2 linked regions of the Danio rerio genome follow. The protein of the gene in region 2 interacts with the protein of the main gene of each other region in a pairwise test. Links are inferred from orthologs where the notes say so. Each region holds a gene or a part of one and is shown on either strand. Other genes may lie near its edges.

Evidence for each region.
Region 1: the proteins of bcl11aa (region 2) and nr2e1 interact in a two-hybrid assay, tested with the Homo sapiens proteins (2 studies listed by BioGRID). The link is inferred for Danio rerio from reciprocal best matches to the Homo sapiens genes BCL11A and NR2E1.

The regions. Positions count from the first base shown.
Region 1 is NC_133195.1:35,307,173-35,311,518, forward strand, and holds the start of nr2e1 (nuclear receptor subfamily 2 group E member 1), read right to left. Parts: upstream 2,804-4,346; 5' UTR 2,387-2,803; coding exon 2,329-2,386; intron 1-2,328. UniProt on the Homo sapiens protein: Orphan receptor that binds DNA as a monomer to hormone response elements (HRE) containing an extended core motif half-site sequence 5'-AAGGTCA-3' in which the 5' flanking nucleotides participate in determining receptor specificity.
Region 2 is NC_133188.1:29,069,968-29,074,343, reverse strand, and holds the start of bcl11aa (BCL11 transcription factor A a), read right to left. Parts: upstream 2,836-4,376; 5' UTR 2,731-2,835; coding exon 2,676-2,730; intron 2,286-2,675; exon of another isoform or gene 1,868-2,285; intron 1-1,867. UniProt on the Homo sapiens protein: Transcription factor. Associated with the BAF SWI/SNF chromatin remodeling complex. Binds to the 5'-TGACCA-3' sequence motif in regulatory regions of target genes, including a distal promoter of the HBG1 hemoglobin subunit gamma-1 gene.

The sequences.
Region 1 (4,346 bases), on a different chromosome or scaffold from region 2:
GCGACATTAGGGAGAGTGTTAACTTAATGATTTCCCCATTGAGCCTCGTCTGACTGGCCTGGTCTCGACAAGCTGCCAACCCCGCTTCATAATGAAGCTCGACAACTGCTTTCTTCGTGCCGTCTATAGGCTCGCGGATTAGGGAGTGACACGGGAGAGGAGAATAATACGCACCAGCGCGTTTCAGCGACTCAGATGAAGTGTATGCAAATGAACTTGGAGTAAATGAAAATTGTGATTTTTCTTGTGTGTGCAGAACACTTTTTTTTCTGTATTTAAGTCTGTCAATAGAGGCATATTTGCATGTATATGGGGGAGTCGTTTAGAGAAACGGCTATGTAATTACACTGACATATGTCCACCTGCTCATTGATTTTCCAGTGACCCGTCAAAAAGTGTAGCATGGGAATTCGGATATAGACCGGTAAAGACGGAGAAGGAAAACGACTTCATGCTCTCTGACTTTTTACACCAAAAGAAAGAAAAAAGCTGCATTTTAATGCGTTAAACACATTTATTTTCTGTGCGTGCCAGATGTTCTACAGAAATGATAATGACTTTTTTTGTGAATTGTGACGTGAAAGTGACTTTGTGTGTCTACCTTCCTATTTTAACATTTTAGAAAGTGCGAAGTTCGAGTCAAAGTCTTGATATAAATGCAGGTTTATGAAATATTTCTTTACCAACGGTGGGCGCTTGAATAAAAAAAAACTGCAGAAAACTTGTTGCATTTGTCGCTTTGAAACTCGAAAATAGCTACATTAGTACACGCTTTTGTCAACGCTTTTTTAGAAAAATGCATAATTAAAAGTTCATTTACAATTTTAGTTTTGAAACATTTTTATCCTGGTCTGTGAATTTCAGTATTTTATGTGTATAAATTATAATTAAACCCATCAAACCAGATAGCTCTTATTTCGATGAAGGCCTACTGTTTTCCATCCAGAACAGATGCAATCATCGCATAATTCGACAGCACACAATGGTAAGGATTGGTAAGAAACTCATAATGAATTGAAGGCGGATTTGTTTTAGGGAAGGTCTTTAACTTTCCCCTGTGGGGGTCCCGGTCTGATGCATTGTTCGTTGTAATTGTTTAAGGACATATGGCATATTTCATTACTGTAATCAGCATCAACCCTGGGACGTGCTGCACTAGATTAGGTGCAGTTGTGAGAAACCCTAAATTTAATGGGCCTTCGACCACCCAAACAGTATAAGTGCCGTAATGTTACCCCTATAATGTAAAAAATAATTGCTAAAGAGAATCATTTAAAAAGTGAGAGGCATCTAAAACTTATTTGAAACAGTTTAAGGCTAAAAGCATTCTGAATAAGGAAAGAAAAGTTTAGGCCTCAACAAAATTACTAATTTGCCGAGCTAGATTTAATAATTGTTTTCGATATAATCATATCATCAGTTACTTACAAATCATTGCTAATACTATTGTGCAATAGAAACAATTGTATATGGGTTCCCTTATTTTATTGAACTCCACTTAAACAATTCTCTTGCATTATTTAAAAGTCAAATCTCTCATACATACAAACTTTTAATTATTTTTTTTCTATAGTCTTAAAGGTCAAAGAGGTATAAAATTTTATTATCACAAGCATGCAGACTTTCTCGAATTAGAATAAATATTTAGTTTTTTTTTTCTTCAAGAAATGTTTATTGTCAGATTGTTTTTAGAATTGCAATCCTAAAAATAAAATGTCAAGAAAACATTTATTTTAGATTAATTATAGGCCACTTGCATTTTTTTTAAATAACACGAGTCAAAAGAGATACTAGGAGACACTCAATAAGGAAAATATCTGCTTTGACACACTATGCATAGTTTGCGCATAATTATGAAATAAAGACTGTTGGAATACATTTAGTAGTTACCTACATTTTTAGAGTTTCGAAAATACCTCAGTACTTATTTGCAAAATGTAATAGTGAAACAACGTAAGCTGTCAAAACATTCTAAGCAGCATAACACTAAACTCAAACTTATTTAAGCCTTTCCAACCTTATTCGTTTATTGATTTTCTTAGACTTTACGTGTATTCAATATTGATATACACAATGTTTAGCCTTAATTGAGATAATCTTGATTGTAAATATAGATCTTTCGTATAGAGGCAGACAACAGTGACAGCACGTAAACATTTCGATATGCATTTGACAACTCTTTGAAGTTGATATTATTTTTGTCACATTGATCATACGCAATTATTTCACTTTTAATTATTTCGTAAACAAAACGAAATAGCATTTTGACTCGACATCACGCCATTTCTAACTTCACAATAGTCCTGAAAGCAAATGCAGTTTACTTACTGGATTTGACATTTAAAATATCCAGACAACCACTTGTTGAACCAGCAGGCTTGCTCATATTGAAGACCACGGCTCCGAGAAATTGCGTTTCAAAAGTTCAACTTTTCAGGCCCAGGGCAGTCTTAGCACTTTTGACTTAGATTGAAAAAAGAAACATACATTTAACATCCGATTTGCGGTGCACAACTGGTCCTTTGATTTCTCTTGCAGTTTCTGAATGTGTCCAAAATGTTCCTCTTGTTTTTCAGCAAATAAAATCCGAATTACGTCTCACTGTTGATGGATGATGGATGCAGCTTCACAGATGATATGCCAAAGCTGGTCTCTGATCTCTCTGCCCCACGTAAAAGTTGGTGCAACTAACTGTGAAACCAAGCCAACAACTGTACCGCTCAACACCTGCTTCAAATGTACAACGTGAGCTGGGAAATGCGTCGCAGCCCAAGCCTTGGTGAGTGACTTTGTGATGTGTACCGTCAGATTAAAGGTTTGGTAATATGTATGAGATGTATTAGAGTAGGAGGGCGGGAGAGAAGGGAGGGTGGGAGGAGAGCCCAACTTCCTTTGACCACTTAGCTTTTCCCTGCCTTCTGCTTCAACTCCTGCTCGCGCGTGACGTCACGAGGACGAATGAAGTGATATTGCATACACAGTGAGTCAGGCACTGTCAGAGGCTAATAGTGCGCTCGCTCTATAGGAATTGATTAGGATCAGCAAGGCTGTTTAAATGACCGAATCAATCGTTTGCCACTGATTAGGAACACATTTCTATTCTCAGAGAGTTCACTGACCTAACTACCGACACAGGCTGGAGTAAATTGTTTAGGCATTCGGTTAGAAAGATGATCACTTTTTATTTTGTTCTGTCTTGCTGCGCACTTACTTTCTCTCGCGCTTTCCCGGATCCTTCCATCGCGCGCGTGCACCTGTTGCTCCGTCCTCTCTCGAGCCCAGATATCACACTGTTCCACAGCGCTCTCAGCTTGCCTGCTTTTATGCGCACGGCGTCAAAATTAGAGGATTTTTTAAGAGTGTATTTTTTATTCTGAATCAACATGTGGTGATGTTGCTGTTATGCTAAATGGAAAACATTATAGCTATAAATGAGCATTTTAACATAATGTCCTAAATTGCGTCTTTTTTTTCTGCCCCAATAACAGCCTAACCCAAATGTACACACATCTGTTTGTGTATTTTTATTTATTTTTTTATAGCCTATTTGTTAAGTGTTGGGTATTACAAACCTTACTTTGTATATTCTAAGTAAGTTATAAGTTGCCAAGTATTTTACATCATTACTCGTGAAGTGAACAATCCTCTAAACAAACAGTCAACGTCTCTGCTCATGAGTCTTGCGCGGAGAATAATATTGAGAGGGAAATTAATAGGATTATTAATGATGTTAATCGGATGCATTTTAACTGACTTATTTATACAGAACAAGTATGTATAAATAACGCCTCAGACTTAGAAAACATCGGTATTAAATGAAGTATGCGCGCGCTCTGTTTCCGAGGGGACACATGCGTGCGAGTTTCCCTCGTGTAGAGAATCACAACTGTACCCGTTTGCGAGCGTGCGCAATGACATCTTGACCTTAACAGCGTGCCATGTTGTGGCCGCCGCCAGCAGACACCCATATTTTAGGTTTAATTATGAACATTCCCACGGTAGCTCGGGGCCATATGGGAGCCCTAAATCTCGGTCTAAACGTGGCGAACGGGGGCGTATCTAATCGCAATTAGTGATTGTCATGTCCTCCTTTAAACGGTGTTCTCAGTGCACTGAAAAGAAATTAGGATTTTTGACAGGTGAATGACTGCACATTCAAATGTGCGTTTTCAGGACCTGGTGTGCCAGACTAAGAAAAACAGTGTCACAGTAGGCTCATACTGCATGTGTGCATCACCCGCAAACTTTAGGCCATGACTTATTAAATCAAGGCAAACAATTTTGTGTTTAACAGACGTCTAATATACATCTAAACGTAGACAGCTTGGCTAAAACAAAGCTAAACT
Region 2 (4,376 bases):
TATAACGGCTGTTTAGCGAAATCTTTCGCGCGGAGGTTACACTAGCTTGCTAATGGTTAAGAATCTTGACCTTCTTTATAAGCTGCCAATTTCATGCTTTAATGAACCTAAAACCACTGAGAATCAAAAAATAGATTTTAATTTTAGTGGGTGATGATTGGTACAGATTTTGATAATAATAAAAAAGGTGTTGGGATCACGAGCAGGGCGGTTAAATTTACCTCAGCCCAGTCTGGGGCAGATACTGAGGGGCAGATGTGAAGTATCTCCCAGACGTGGTTATGAGTAAAATATTCGACACGTTTGCACATGAAATAACAAAGACGAAACGTGATCAATTACCCTTAAATATGAGCGAATGTTTTCCGTTTTTACATTGTATTATTGTGCGTAATTGCTTGCATTTCTAATAGGAGCAATTTAAAGTGAAGTTAAACGTTTTTGTATCTGGTTCCAAGATACACAGATTGATATTGATTCGTATTAAATTCGTAATGATACCAGATGTAGAACGTCCAGTAATGTGTGATTTTGTGATAAAAACAGAGATAATCGACATATTTGCAAAAACTTGAGTCATAATTTAATAACACCCAGCGAGTACATATAGTTGCTTAATAGATATTTCAGCTTCAATAAAATGTAACATTAATACAATAGCTTAATACAACATTTAAAGTTATGCGTTATTCTACAATCGGTAATGGCATTTAAAGATTTCCGTGCATATGCATATTTTTAAATATTATTATATATACTTCACAGACTACGATTGACCTTGCATAAATAAACTAGGATTCCATGAATGTGTTTTGAAGGAATATTCAACCATTTTAAAACAAATTAAGCCAACTCAAAATTTGTGGAAAGTGTGGAAAACTGTATTAAACTGAGTTTTCACAATAGTTTTAAATTACATTACCTGCATATGCATTTCAAATTAAATCAGTTCTTAAACTAAAAAATATTTAAAGACTTAAAAACAATTAATTTGTCTAAAATTCAAAAGCATCTTATTACAAAAAAAAGATTTAGTATTAGCTTCTCTGTGTATGAAATTCAAAGGGGTTTTGAATAAATTCATTAAAAAAGTTTGTAGGCTCGCTTGTTGTTTCTTTGCTTTAAAAATAACCGTCTTCTGTGTAATTATAAATTGGATGGCAAAGTTTATCAAGATCGATACTGGCTCTGTTTGCATTACCTGAAAGTCATGTTAGTTTTCTAGATCCATTACAAAATATACAAGACATTTTTTTAAAAATCCTATAATTCATGCCAGTTCAGGACGGGGTAAAAAAAAAACTGTTACAAGTTCATATACAATACGTTTCGCTCTTGCAAACATATGGTCAAATATAGATAGTGCTGAAACTGATCGGGTTCGAGTCTAGTTTATGATCGTCGTGTGCCCCCTAGCGGTGGATTTCGGACACGTGCAGCAGCGAAAGCGCAGAGTAACCCGCGCTGAGATCCACAGCCTGTGTGTGGAAACCCAATAATGTTACACGATACTTTACAATGTTACAACAACTCAGGATTTGTGTCAAACACGTTTATCTATTAAAACGCGGACTAATGCTTTTGAAGATTTACGTTTCAGACATCAAAACTAAAACATCAAAAAGATAGAAGCTAAATGGTTGTGTCGTCGAGCTCCTGACAACATTTCAGGTTCATATAATCTGAAGCATACTTTATTTAGAAAAATGCAACTTATCACAGTCCTTCAAAGCACGTTTAGTGTGTCAACTAACATGATCTCTGGAAGAACAGTAGGTTAGTGTGTTACGAATATATGCATAAAAAGCCTGGTTTTCTCGATACATTTGTATCCAAATAGTTGCATTATATTTAGGTTTCGTCTTACCTTTGTCAACGACATTTAAGACGAAAATCAGGCCTAAATAGAAATCGTATTTCTCTCCTTGCAAATGTACTCGAAACGGCAAAGAGCGTAACGTAAAATACTCTTCTACTGCTTTTCAGCGAAAGCCCACAAATACTGCACAACCGCGTTTTGCTTCAAACGTTAGAAAAGCGTTAATGTGTAAAACTCGAAACGATATTAGGCTATATGCAGATGTCTTACTCTGCGCTGTTAGTCTCAGGCAGAAGACTATCGTGCTCTATTTGCTGGCAGTGGGTAGTAAGCGCACGCGGCGCTTGTAAACAGTCGGACACGAGATTTTTCCCAATCAAAATTCGCTTCCACTCTTTGAAAATCTTCCAAAAATAGTGCGAGAGGGGGGAAATCCTGCCCAGAATCACAGACAGACAGCGTTGCGGGACACTCCACGAGATGTGAGAGTAAATAAGCAAGCGAAAGCACGCGTGCATATACCCACCACGGTCCGGTATATGTGAGCGTTTGCTCTTAAGTGGTCAAAGCGACTGGGGCACGAGAGCCAAGACATATGCGCCTAAACACAGAGTCGACACGAACTTCTCCAAGTACAGCGATGGAAGACAAACTTTTTGGCGATTCGGTGCGCGTAAAGGCATTCAAGAGATGGGAACGCTCTCTTCGCTAAAGTCCACTTGATCGGCGCTGCGCTGTCCAATGTCCAGTGTGTCTTCCCTGAGAATTACGCTCCTCTCCAGCAACTCAACGCTACACAACGCAGCCAAAAAACAGGTAAAGGCAACGGGCACAACATATATTTGTCTTTACTTACGCGAAAAATCCCGTTTGCTTAAGTGCTGGGGTTTGCCTTGCTTGCGGCGAGACATGGTGGTTGGTGGTGGCTTTCAGCTCGGTTCACATCGGGAGAGCCGGGTTAGAAAGGAGACTCCAGAGAAAATATCTTCATCAATGCCTTTGACATCCAAAATAAATTAGAAATAATACAAAGATGGCGCAGGGAAGATGGATTGTGGGATAGCCGTCATGGCTTTTTTGAAAAGAGAGAGAGAGAGATGAAAAAATGGCAAAAGCCCCCCTGAGCTGCAAGTTCAAGTGCGGACGTGACGTCCCTGCGAACTTGAACGTCAGGAGATGGATGGACACAGACATACAGAACATGGGCAGGGCAAAGCCGTGGAGTAGGAGGAGGGAGTGGAAATAACAAAACCAATGGACACTCATTAGGGGCTGGACATGAAAAATAGACCCGAAGAAGCCAATGGACAGAAAGATCAGGGGGCCGGACAAGAGGCGAGAAAGAGGGAGCGAGAGACAAGCACACACACAAGGAGAGAGAGAGGGGGAGATATGTTTAATGAAAGCAATGTGCGCTGCGGAGTGTGTGTGTGTGTGTGTGTGCGTCCGCGCGCGCTCGCGCTCTGGGGGTGGACGCAGGAAAACAGAGCACGAAAAGCCAATGGACAGGAGATTCAAGGGGGCCGGACGTGCTATATATACAAAGACAGTGAGAGAGGAGCCTCGCATTTAAGGTTTCGTAGTGGACACTGATGGTGTTTCAAACACACTGACTCAACTCCTGGTCAAACAGTCAAAGGTAGCGCGCAAGGTAGCTGCTTTTCAGCGAGACACGATCGGGTTGCATGAACAGGACAGACAGGTTCCGAGCCGGGGCATGTGCAGGGTTCAACCGCCGCGTGCGCTGCCACATTCCTCCAGCTCAGAGAAACTTAAGGCACATCACATAAAGCGGGATGGGATACTTGCTCGTGCGCTCTGCGCGCGATGTAGGTGGGACTTAAATACTACAAGAGTGTAATTGTAAAAATATAACAACACACTGACGAATAGATTGTGGGAGCAGCCCACTAGAAAGAAAGGGGACGGGGTAATAACTTTCAGATGTGTTCAGATTATAGAGAATGGCGACTGGGGGGAGGAGGGGGTGTCAGTAAACCGCCGCGTGGATTTAGAAATATAAAGATGCTGTAAACAGCGCTGATGCATTCGAAATTAAAGAGACATGAAGCGTATAACCGAACGCGATGACAAGCTAGTTCAATGCATGAGGTGGGAGGAAGAGAGAGACACCCCTGCGAACTAGTAGAAGTACAACTAGACTATAGCGACTACTCCAGAGAAAGCAGAGGCTGCGTGAACAAGTGACAGTCTGCGGGGAAAAGGCACAATTCAATAGGGAACCGATCGGAGTTGAAGCCGAATGCTGGAGATAATACGTGACCCGCGAGCGAGTGAGTGAAACTGCTTTGCAGGCTTATACGCTGACATCTTTGTTTCTGGACCAAGACTGATCGCTGTGTTGGTGCGCGTGTGTTTTTTTCCGACGCGAGGTGTCAGATCTTAACGCGAAAGTTGAGTCAGGTTTGTGCTGGGTAAAAAGGTCAACTTTGCGCGAGATCTATCTGGGAATACCAATGGATCCGCTCGACTGTACCACACTGACTGTGCCGATGCTTTTCAGGTCATTGTTCTCAACAAGTGCATATGATTAAAA